Schizosaccharomyces pombe: one gene and its partner. The protein of the gene in region 2 interacts with the protein of the main gene of each other region in a pairwise test. Each region holds a gene or a part of one and is shown on either strand. Other genes may lie near its edges.

What was found.
Region 1: the proteins of cbh2 (region 2) and enp1 interact in a two-hybrid assay, tested with the Schizosaccharomyces pombe proteins (one large-scale study listed by BioGRID).

Annotation. Positions count from the first base shown.
Region 1 is NC_003423.3:3,740,619-3,744,592, reverse strand, and holds enp1 (bystin family U3 and U14 snoRNA associated protein), read right to left. Parts: upstream 2,224-3,974; 5' UTR 2,168-2,223; coding exon 1,241-2,167; intron 1,198-1,240; coding exon 775-1,197; 3' UTR 526-774; downstream 1-525. Other genes in the region: rqt2 (ATP-dependent RNA helicase), read left to right, coding at 1-525; SPOM_SPBC13G1.15C (uncharacterized protein), read left to right, coding at 2,817-3,152; ash2 (Set1C complex and Lid2 complex subunit Ash2-trithorax family), read left to right, coding at 3,660-3,974.
Region 2 is NC_003423.3:4,180,150-4,184,282, reverse strand, and holds cbh2 (CENP-B protein 2), read left to right. Parts: upstream 1-1,844; 5' UTR 1,845-1,872; coding exon 1,873-3,417; 3' UTR 3,418-3,546; downstream 3,547-4,133. Other genes in the region: pho8 (alkaline phosphatase), read left to right, coding at 98-1,491; sorting nexin Snx41, read left to right, coding at 3,795-4,082. UniProt on the Schizosaccharomyces pombe protein: Binds to the central core and core-associated repeat regions of centromeric heterochromatin.

The DNA of each region.
Region 1 (3,974 bases), 440 kb from region 2:
TGCTATCCGAGTGAGATTTACAGAGCTTCATTACCTGGACTTAATGCGTCTAGTGAAAAGGAAGCAAGAGATTATCTCAACAAATTTGCAGGAAATAAAACTGATGAGTTATATCAAATGCTATGTAATGACCCTAACGTTTTTGATATAGAAAGTCTGGTCAATAGTTTAATTTCGTATCCTAAAATGAACATTGAAGTTTCTCAATCGTCTTCAGATAAGCTACTCCTTTATCTACGACGCCTCAATCAGCCGCTCAACCCCGATTTTTACATTTTTGCGCCGTTGTTCCCTAAACCTCAAAGTGAGGGATTTTTCGTTCTCATCATAGATTCAGAAACTCAAGAACTGTTCGCGATACGTCGGGCCTCATTTGCTGGGCGAAGAAACGATGATTCAATTCGTTTATCCCTTCGGATTTCAATGGATATTCCACCAACTTGCCGCAACAGAAATGTAAAAGTCATGGTTGTTTGTGATGGATACCCATTAATTTACGAACATAAAATTGTATTGATGATTTAATGAAGCTTTTGTAGAAAAATAGAAGGCTTTAAGCCAATTTCCTTATTATATTTAAGTCTGTTTAATAAAAATTAATTAACAAATCTATAGACCTCAATAATCCTATTAATTGGTGAACATAAAACCCACAATTTAAGTAAAAATATTCCCAACATTGAAAAACAGCGGCTAATCCGAAGTCTTTTTATTCAATTTTTTTTACAAAAGAAACAAATGCCAAGTGAACCCAAGAAAACCAAAACCATTCAATTAATATTCCATTTCCACAGGAATTTCTTCACCACGACTAGCACTGTTAAGCAGCTCACGTCTAATTTCTGGACCAATAGAATAATGTCCTTTCAGGCGAACAACTTCTAAGAGTGCATCCTTTTGTTCGGGTGTAATATCAAATTTGTACCGTTGAGCAAAGACCAACATCGATTGATGTTCTAATACAGCAAGTGGACGTTCCAATGATTTCCATCGCATAAAATAAAAAACCAAAGAATCAAGCACCTTATACGGTAGAGCATATTTTTTGTCGAGTAATATCCTAATAAATACGGAAGTAGCACCACTCAAGTCAAACTCAGTTAAACGTAATAACGCGGCTGCAGAATGCAGAACCGGCACAGAAACTTTTTGAAGGATACTACCGATGATTGCGGCTTCGCGCAAAGTGCAATTCTCCTATAAGAGGTTAATAATTAAGTAAAGAAATCGATGAACATACTTGAACTAGAGGAAACAAGAAACCCTTAAACCAAGAAGACGGTTTGTATAATGCCTTTTTCAAAGCCATATATAAATGGTAATTTAATTTTTTATTTTCACGAATGTCATCACGAACTCTTTCCAAAATAATGACTGTGAGGAAGTGTTGAGCTTGTACAGGTTTTAAGTTGGAAATAAAAATACGAGTAGCTTCATAACAAGCATGAGGTGTCCACATGTCAGGTCGAGTGAGATAAAGTATGTCTTCCCAATTAGACAACGTAGGGATAATTTTGAAAGCTTTAGGAATTTTTCCTGAGCGGTATTTACTAAGTAAAACCCCAACCTTTGAATAGACCTCTATTACCTTGGGAGGCAAGGGAGGTAAGGCATTTTCCTCCTCTTCTGCAGAAGGGATATATTCACCACGAGCGCGAGCTTCAGCCTCGTTGATTTTTTGCATGATCAAATCGGATAGTGAGGTGGTTTTTTCCTCTGTTAGATCTCCTTCCTCGCCTGACACGGTTGGGAGGAATCGATCGAATAAATCTCGGTCAGCATCATCTATCTCAAGCTCCTCATACTCTTCTTCTTCTTGAGAAGTAATGCTTTCACTATCGGATACATTTCTAGCATGCTCTGATTCTTCATAGCTTGATTCAATTGCCGGATTTTCTAAAGTGTCTTTTTGATGTCCATTACTAATAAAAGCACTGATCTGTGAAGGTTTTCCATTTTCTTCTTCATCCAACTCCTCTTTTTGTTCCCTTGCTAATTGTAAAATTTTTTTAGAAGTCTTGGCATCCAAGAAGCCGTTTCCGGTGTTGCTTTCTTTCGACTTTTTCTGTTTGCTAGGTTTCTGTCTCAAGACACCACTTTCTGAAGATTCTGCAATGTCCTTATAAAGAGGAGCATGATGCAGTTTAGTTTTTGGAGCCTTGGGCATTATCAATAATATATTTTCTTTTTAATTCCGCCGCTCCAAACACTTTGGTTTTTTGTAGGTACAAATTGCAATTATAAAACTTACCTAATTAGCGTACTTTAAATCCCACGTAAAACCGTGCATTTCGTTTTACCTAGCGCCTCACAAAATAGCACGCTATTTAGCCTTTCACCTTTTGTAACTACTGAACTCCATGGGAAGTATCTTCCATATGCAGTTTTTTATGCTATACTATGTTATGTTAGCTATTACTGTTCAATATAGCTCTTTAAATATTAAAGAATAGGACTGTGGGATGATATAATGGTCTTCATTAAAGTTGATAATACTAATTGAATAAATGAAAATAAATTACATCTTAACCAACATTCCGCATTTCAGTTGTGAGCTATTGAATGATTGCCATATTATCAAAGTTTGACAGTATGTTTAACACATCAGCAAATCTCTAAGTTTTCAAAGATCATGGGAACTCAAGCTACTTTTTGTTCGCTATTTTTCCTAGTAATCGCATAGTTGACAGCTTTTATTATATATATAAATATATATTAAATTAAAGCGTATAATCTGATATTAAGAACTCAATTTTTTAGATTTACGCAGACTGAATCTTGGAAAATAAAGGACATATTTCTTCAGCTTGAGAGTAATGGCTTCATGCTGTATCTTTTGTGCTCAGTTTGTATTAAATCGAAATCTGTTAGAAGCTAATAAGTATAAACTTTCCGAAATTACTTTTAAGGTCTACATTAGTATCAGAAGGCTACTAATTGTAGTGATCACACTTTACAGACGAATAGTTGAGTGTTGTGCTTCACTATGCTCCCTCATTTTCAGTAAATATTATCTGCATTATAAAACTTTTAGGATTCTTACAATAATTCAAAGTTGGTCTGATAAAGTCTCAGTTCTTCCAAATCGCCTTTATTGTTTACCTTTTTGCAACGCGTTTATTGAGTTCGTAAAAAAACTTACCGAAACGTAAAGAAATTTCAACGCCATAATTAATGCGAAATTACTAAGTCCATTATTAACCCATATTGAGTAAATTAAATTCCTACCTCCCTGTGAGTGTATTTTTTTCTGTACATAAGCAAGTGATCTGAGGAGGTTTGTATCTAATCTGAACTACACGTTTGTAGGTGAATACTAGTGACTGAGTCGTGTTCGATGAATATTCGCAAATGAACCTATGTACTTGTGAAATCCTTTAGAGTTAATTAATTCTTCTTAAGTGGAACCTTAATTATTCGAGGATTATTAGATAAACAAATTTCAACCCAAGAATTAATTTACATACCCCTTCTCGTGAATTTTGTCTGTATATAGCAGATGTGATTTTGTCCTTTTTATTTTTTTTAAACTGTACTACATAAAGCTTTGCAGTTATTTAAAGTTTTTTTTTAGAATTTGTTCATATTGCTAAGCTTGTGAAGAAGCTTTTGGACGCGTTTTTTATAAGCACAGTCTTGAGACAAGACACTTTTCGAAGATGCTGGCTCATGGATCCAATGATTATGGAGTTTCCTTAAAGGGGAATAAAACCGGTTCCTCTCCTAGTAAAGCATCTTCTCTAAATTGGAATGAACCTCATACCTTGAACGAACAGAACACCTATTGCTATTGTGGAAAAGATAGAAATTTAAGATTCCCTGATCTTCAGTGTAGCGTTTGTTTAAATATGTTTCATCTCTCGTGTTTAAGTCCTCCTTGTACGTCGATGATGGGATTTAGTACAAATTATCAATTTGTCTGTAAGCATTGCACTGAAGACGGATTTGAACGATTTGAACGAGGTGTATCCGCA
Region 2 (4,133 bases):
CTCTTTTGAAGGAAAATGATTTTTTTTATATTTAGAGCACTGGGACGGAATCTTCCTTTTTTTTACAATATTTCTCGGTGACTGACTTTTTTTAAAGGAATGGGACCTGGCTCTTTGTCTATGACTAGATCGTTTGTAGAGACTCTAAACGATAAAGAGGGTTATAGGCTTCCCTTGGATGAGCATTTAATTGGCAGTTCACGGACACGTTCCAGTTCGAGTTTGATTACGGATAGTGCAGCCGGAGCAACCGCATTTTCTTGTGCTAATAAAACCTACAACGGAGCTGTTGGTGTTTTGGATAATGAAAAACCTTGTGGAACTATCTTAGAGGCTGCTAAAGAAGCCGGTTACTTAACCGGAATTGTTGTCACAAGCAGAGTTACCGACGCTACACCTGCCTCTTTCTCTGCTCATGCCGCGAATCGATTCATGCAAGATTTAATTGCTGAGTACCAAGTCGGGATGGGACCTTTGGGAAGGAGTGTTGACTTATTGTTCGGTGGTGGACTTTGTTCATTCTTACCTAAATCTACTTATCGATCATGTAGATCCGATAACTTGGATCTTTTGAAATATGCTAGGAAAAAAGAAGGTTTCCAAATTTTGCTTAATAGAACTGACTTTGATGAGCTATCAAACGCTCAATTGCCTTTGCTTGGTTTGTTTTCTGATTATCATCTCAGTTATGATATTGATTATCAGCCTGAAGTGCAACCTAAGCTTTCTGAAATGGTAGAGACGGCTTTGGATGTTTTGCTCAACGCCACTAATGAAGATACATCTAAAGGATTTTTTTTGCTCATAGAAGGGAGTAGAATTGACATGGCCTCTCACAACAATGACCCTATCGCTCATGTTTACGAAGTTATGGAATACAACAGGGCCTTTGAAATAGCAAGTGCATTTGTAGAAAAGAATGGAGGATCTTTAATCTCTACATCGGATCATGAAACTGGTGGTTTGACTGTTGGTCGCCAGGTCTCCAAAAAATATCCAGAGTATTTATGGAAGCCGCAAGTCCTATCTCTTGCTCTCCATTCTATTGAATATCTCGCTTCAGCTATCGTGAACCATAACCAAAATACGTTGCTTCCTTATATTGAACAGTTTGTTTTACCCGCAATTGGCATTCCTGACCCTAATCCAAAGCAGATTCATGACATATACGTGGCCCGGCATAATATATTTAATCTTATAAACGTGCTTAGTGATATTGTTAGTGTAGAAGCACAAATTGGCTGGACCACTCACGGCCATACTGCTGTCGATGTAAACGTTTATGGAGTAGGAGAGGTCACTGAACATCTTCGAGGAAATATGGAGAACATTGAAATTGGACAGTTTATGGAGATATACTTAAATGTTTCACTAAGCGATGTAACTGAAAAGCTCAAAGATGCTCCCATACATGGTGCCCCAGATCGACCTAGTTTAGTGGAAACTTCATTTTCCGATCGTCTTGTAGGTTTCGGTGCTGATTTGTTTTAAAGCCTTTTAATCAAGATTGCCATAAATATATAATTTAGAATACTCTCATATATGCTCAGCTTATTTAAATCGCTTAATTATGGCATTCAAATTCTTTTTAAGTTAAACCTATTTTACTTCTTATCTTTTACTTTATTTAATTTCCACTGTGGTTGAGATATCCAACAATTGCGATTTAAGAGCAAACGAATATTACAATTATACATACAACTTGTCGCAATAAAGATAGTTAACATATCCATAACGAAAATATTATAATAATATTATAATAACAAACACGTTAATATATCAAATATCACAAACATATCGGGATATCATCCATATCATCCACGACAGCCGCGATTACCTCCCTTACAACGATTTTTTCGTAAACTTGAGAGAATGCCTCCATTGAGGCGTCAAGCGTTGACTTTAGCTGAAAAAAAAGCAATTAGAAAACATTATTTTGAGTCAGCAACTAAACCTTCGCAACAAGAGCTTATTAGTTGGTTCGAGGAGCACTTTCATAAAAAGCTAGCACAATCTACCGTTTCGTCAATTCTATCATCAAAGAACGAATTTTTAGATAATCTAGACGCAGAAAACTCTCAAATAAGAAGAAACCGCCAAGGAAAATATCCTATCTTAGAAAACGCCCTTATTGACTGGCAAACGAGGTTGCAAAAACAAGACGGAGCAATTACTGGAAACGCCATCAAAAAAAGCGCCGCAGAATTGTGGAGACGTATACCGGAGTACTCTGAGCTTCCGATTCCAGAATTTAGTAACGGTTGGTTAGAGAAGTTCAAAAAGCGTTGTTTAAAACACGGCCTTAAGTTACAGGGTGAATCTACTTCAGTAAATCAAGGAACGTATGAGGAAAACATGGTTCAAATACAGGAATTAATAAGTCTTTTTGATCCAAAAGACATCTTTAATATGGATGAGACGGGGCTATGCTGGAAACTTATTCCCAATCAATCTCCTGCGAGTGAACGAGTAAAAGGAATTACGAGAGATAAGGCTCGTGTCACCGTCACTATTTGTTGTAATGCTACAGGTTCTGAAAAGGCCCCTCTTTGGGTGATTGGATATGCTAAAAGTCCAAGGGCCTTTCGGCAAGCAAATGCTCATCCTGATTCCATGGATTTTCATTGGCGATATAATGGAACCGCTAGGATGACCACTTCCATTATGGAAGAATGGCTTCGTTGGTTTGACGATTTGATGAAGGGTAGGAAAGTTCTACTTATACTGGATAAGTTTGTCGCTCATGAATGCGCTTTGGAAAATATTCGCAATTCCGAGCGAAAGTTGGTAAACACGACTGTTGTTTTCCTTCCTGTAAATTCTACAGAAATTTACCATCCTTGTGGCCAAGAGATAGTCTACGCTTTTAAATCATACTACAGAAAATACTGGCTTAATTACATGCTTGAGGAGATTCGATTGGGAAAGAACCCCAGTAAGACAATGAATGTACTAAAAGCAGTTAGATGGATGATTCGTTCTTGGAACGTTGACTTTGAACCATCTATAATATACAATTGTTTCCTTCGTTCTGGGCTTTTTCAAAATCAGCAACCACTGACCGGTCCTTCTCCAGAAACCATTAGAATCGCGGTGAATTTGCAAGAATTGATAGGAAAATACCTTGGTGATAAGGATATTTTCCAAATCGAAAATTTTATTAACCCTATTGAAGAAAATTCTGCTGACACTAATGACGATATCGTTAACCAAGTTGCTGCTCAATTTCTTGATGAACGAGAGTTTGAAACCGATGAAGAAGAGGAAGAGTCACAGTATTTGTTATCAACAAAGGATGCGATAAATGCCATCAATACTTTACTAAACTTTCAAGAGCAATCGGAAGATGGAAATGTTTTGTTTACTCGAACATTACTTCAGTTTCAAAAGGTTTTAGAAAGCAGATCGATTGTGTAAAGGTTGTGGGAATTGGAAAATTTGTTTCTAACGAAAATGTACACATTTTCTATACTTTTAAATAATTTTTATAGAATATAAGAAAGATAAATAATTACAGTGAATTCTTAAAGGTTAACTACTAGACGTACTATTTCAATTAATGTGAGATTCGCGCTAAAAGCGTTTATAAACTCAATAAGATATATTGATAAAATAATAAAGTGAAGAATCAATTGTTTAAATTACGAAATTGAATTGGGACAAATTTTTTGTTTTGCGAAAAATAAGCATAGCGCAATGCATTAATCAACACAGTATGACTGTCTGTACTTGTCAACTCCAAACGCCATTATTCAGCATTGCAATTGAAATTGGACGTTGTGAGAAACAATTGAATGGATTTTTTTGAAGATAATAATCCATTCTCTGGCTCTGACAACAGAAGCGCCTCTTCTGCTGTCAATGTAGAGCCAAAAGTTGAGCCATCACAGCACCAGGGCTCTTCATCTGTCAAAGAGAATGCGATTAGCCAACCGAATGAGAGTTTTCAAAGTAGAAACATGTTTTTTCAAAAGGACGTAGATAGTGTTGTTGATTCAGCCCTCGATCCAAACGGAATTGTAATTACTGGAGCTATGAAGGCTGAGAGTGGATCACACATAGTATATATAATCAAACTTCAAGTAAGTTAAGGAAATTGGTTGATAATGTATTAAGTCGAACTATTCATTGTA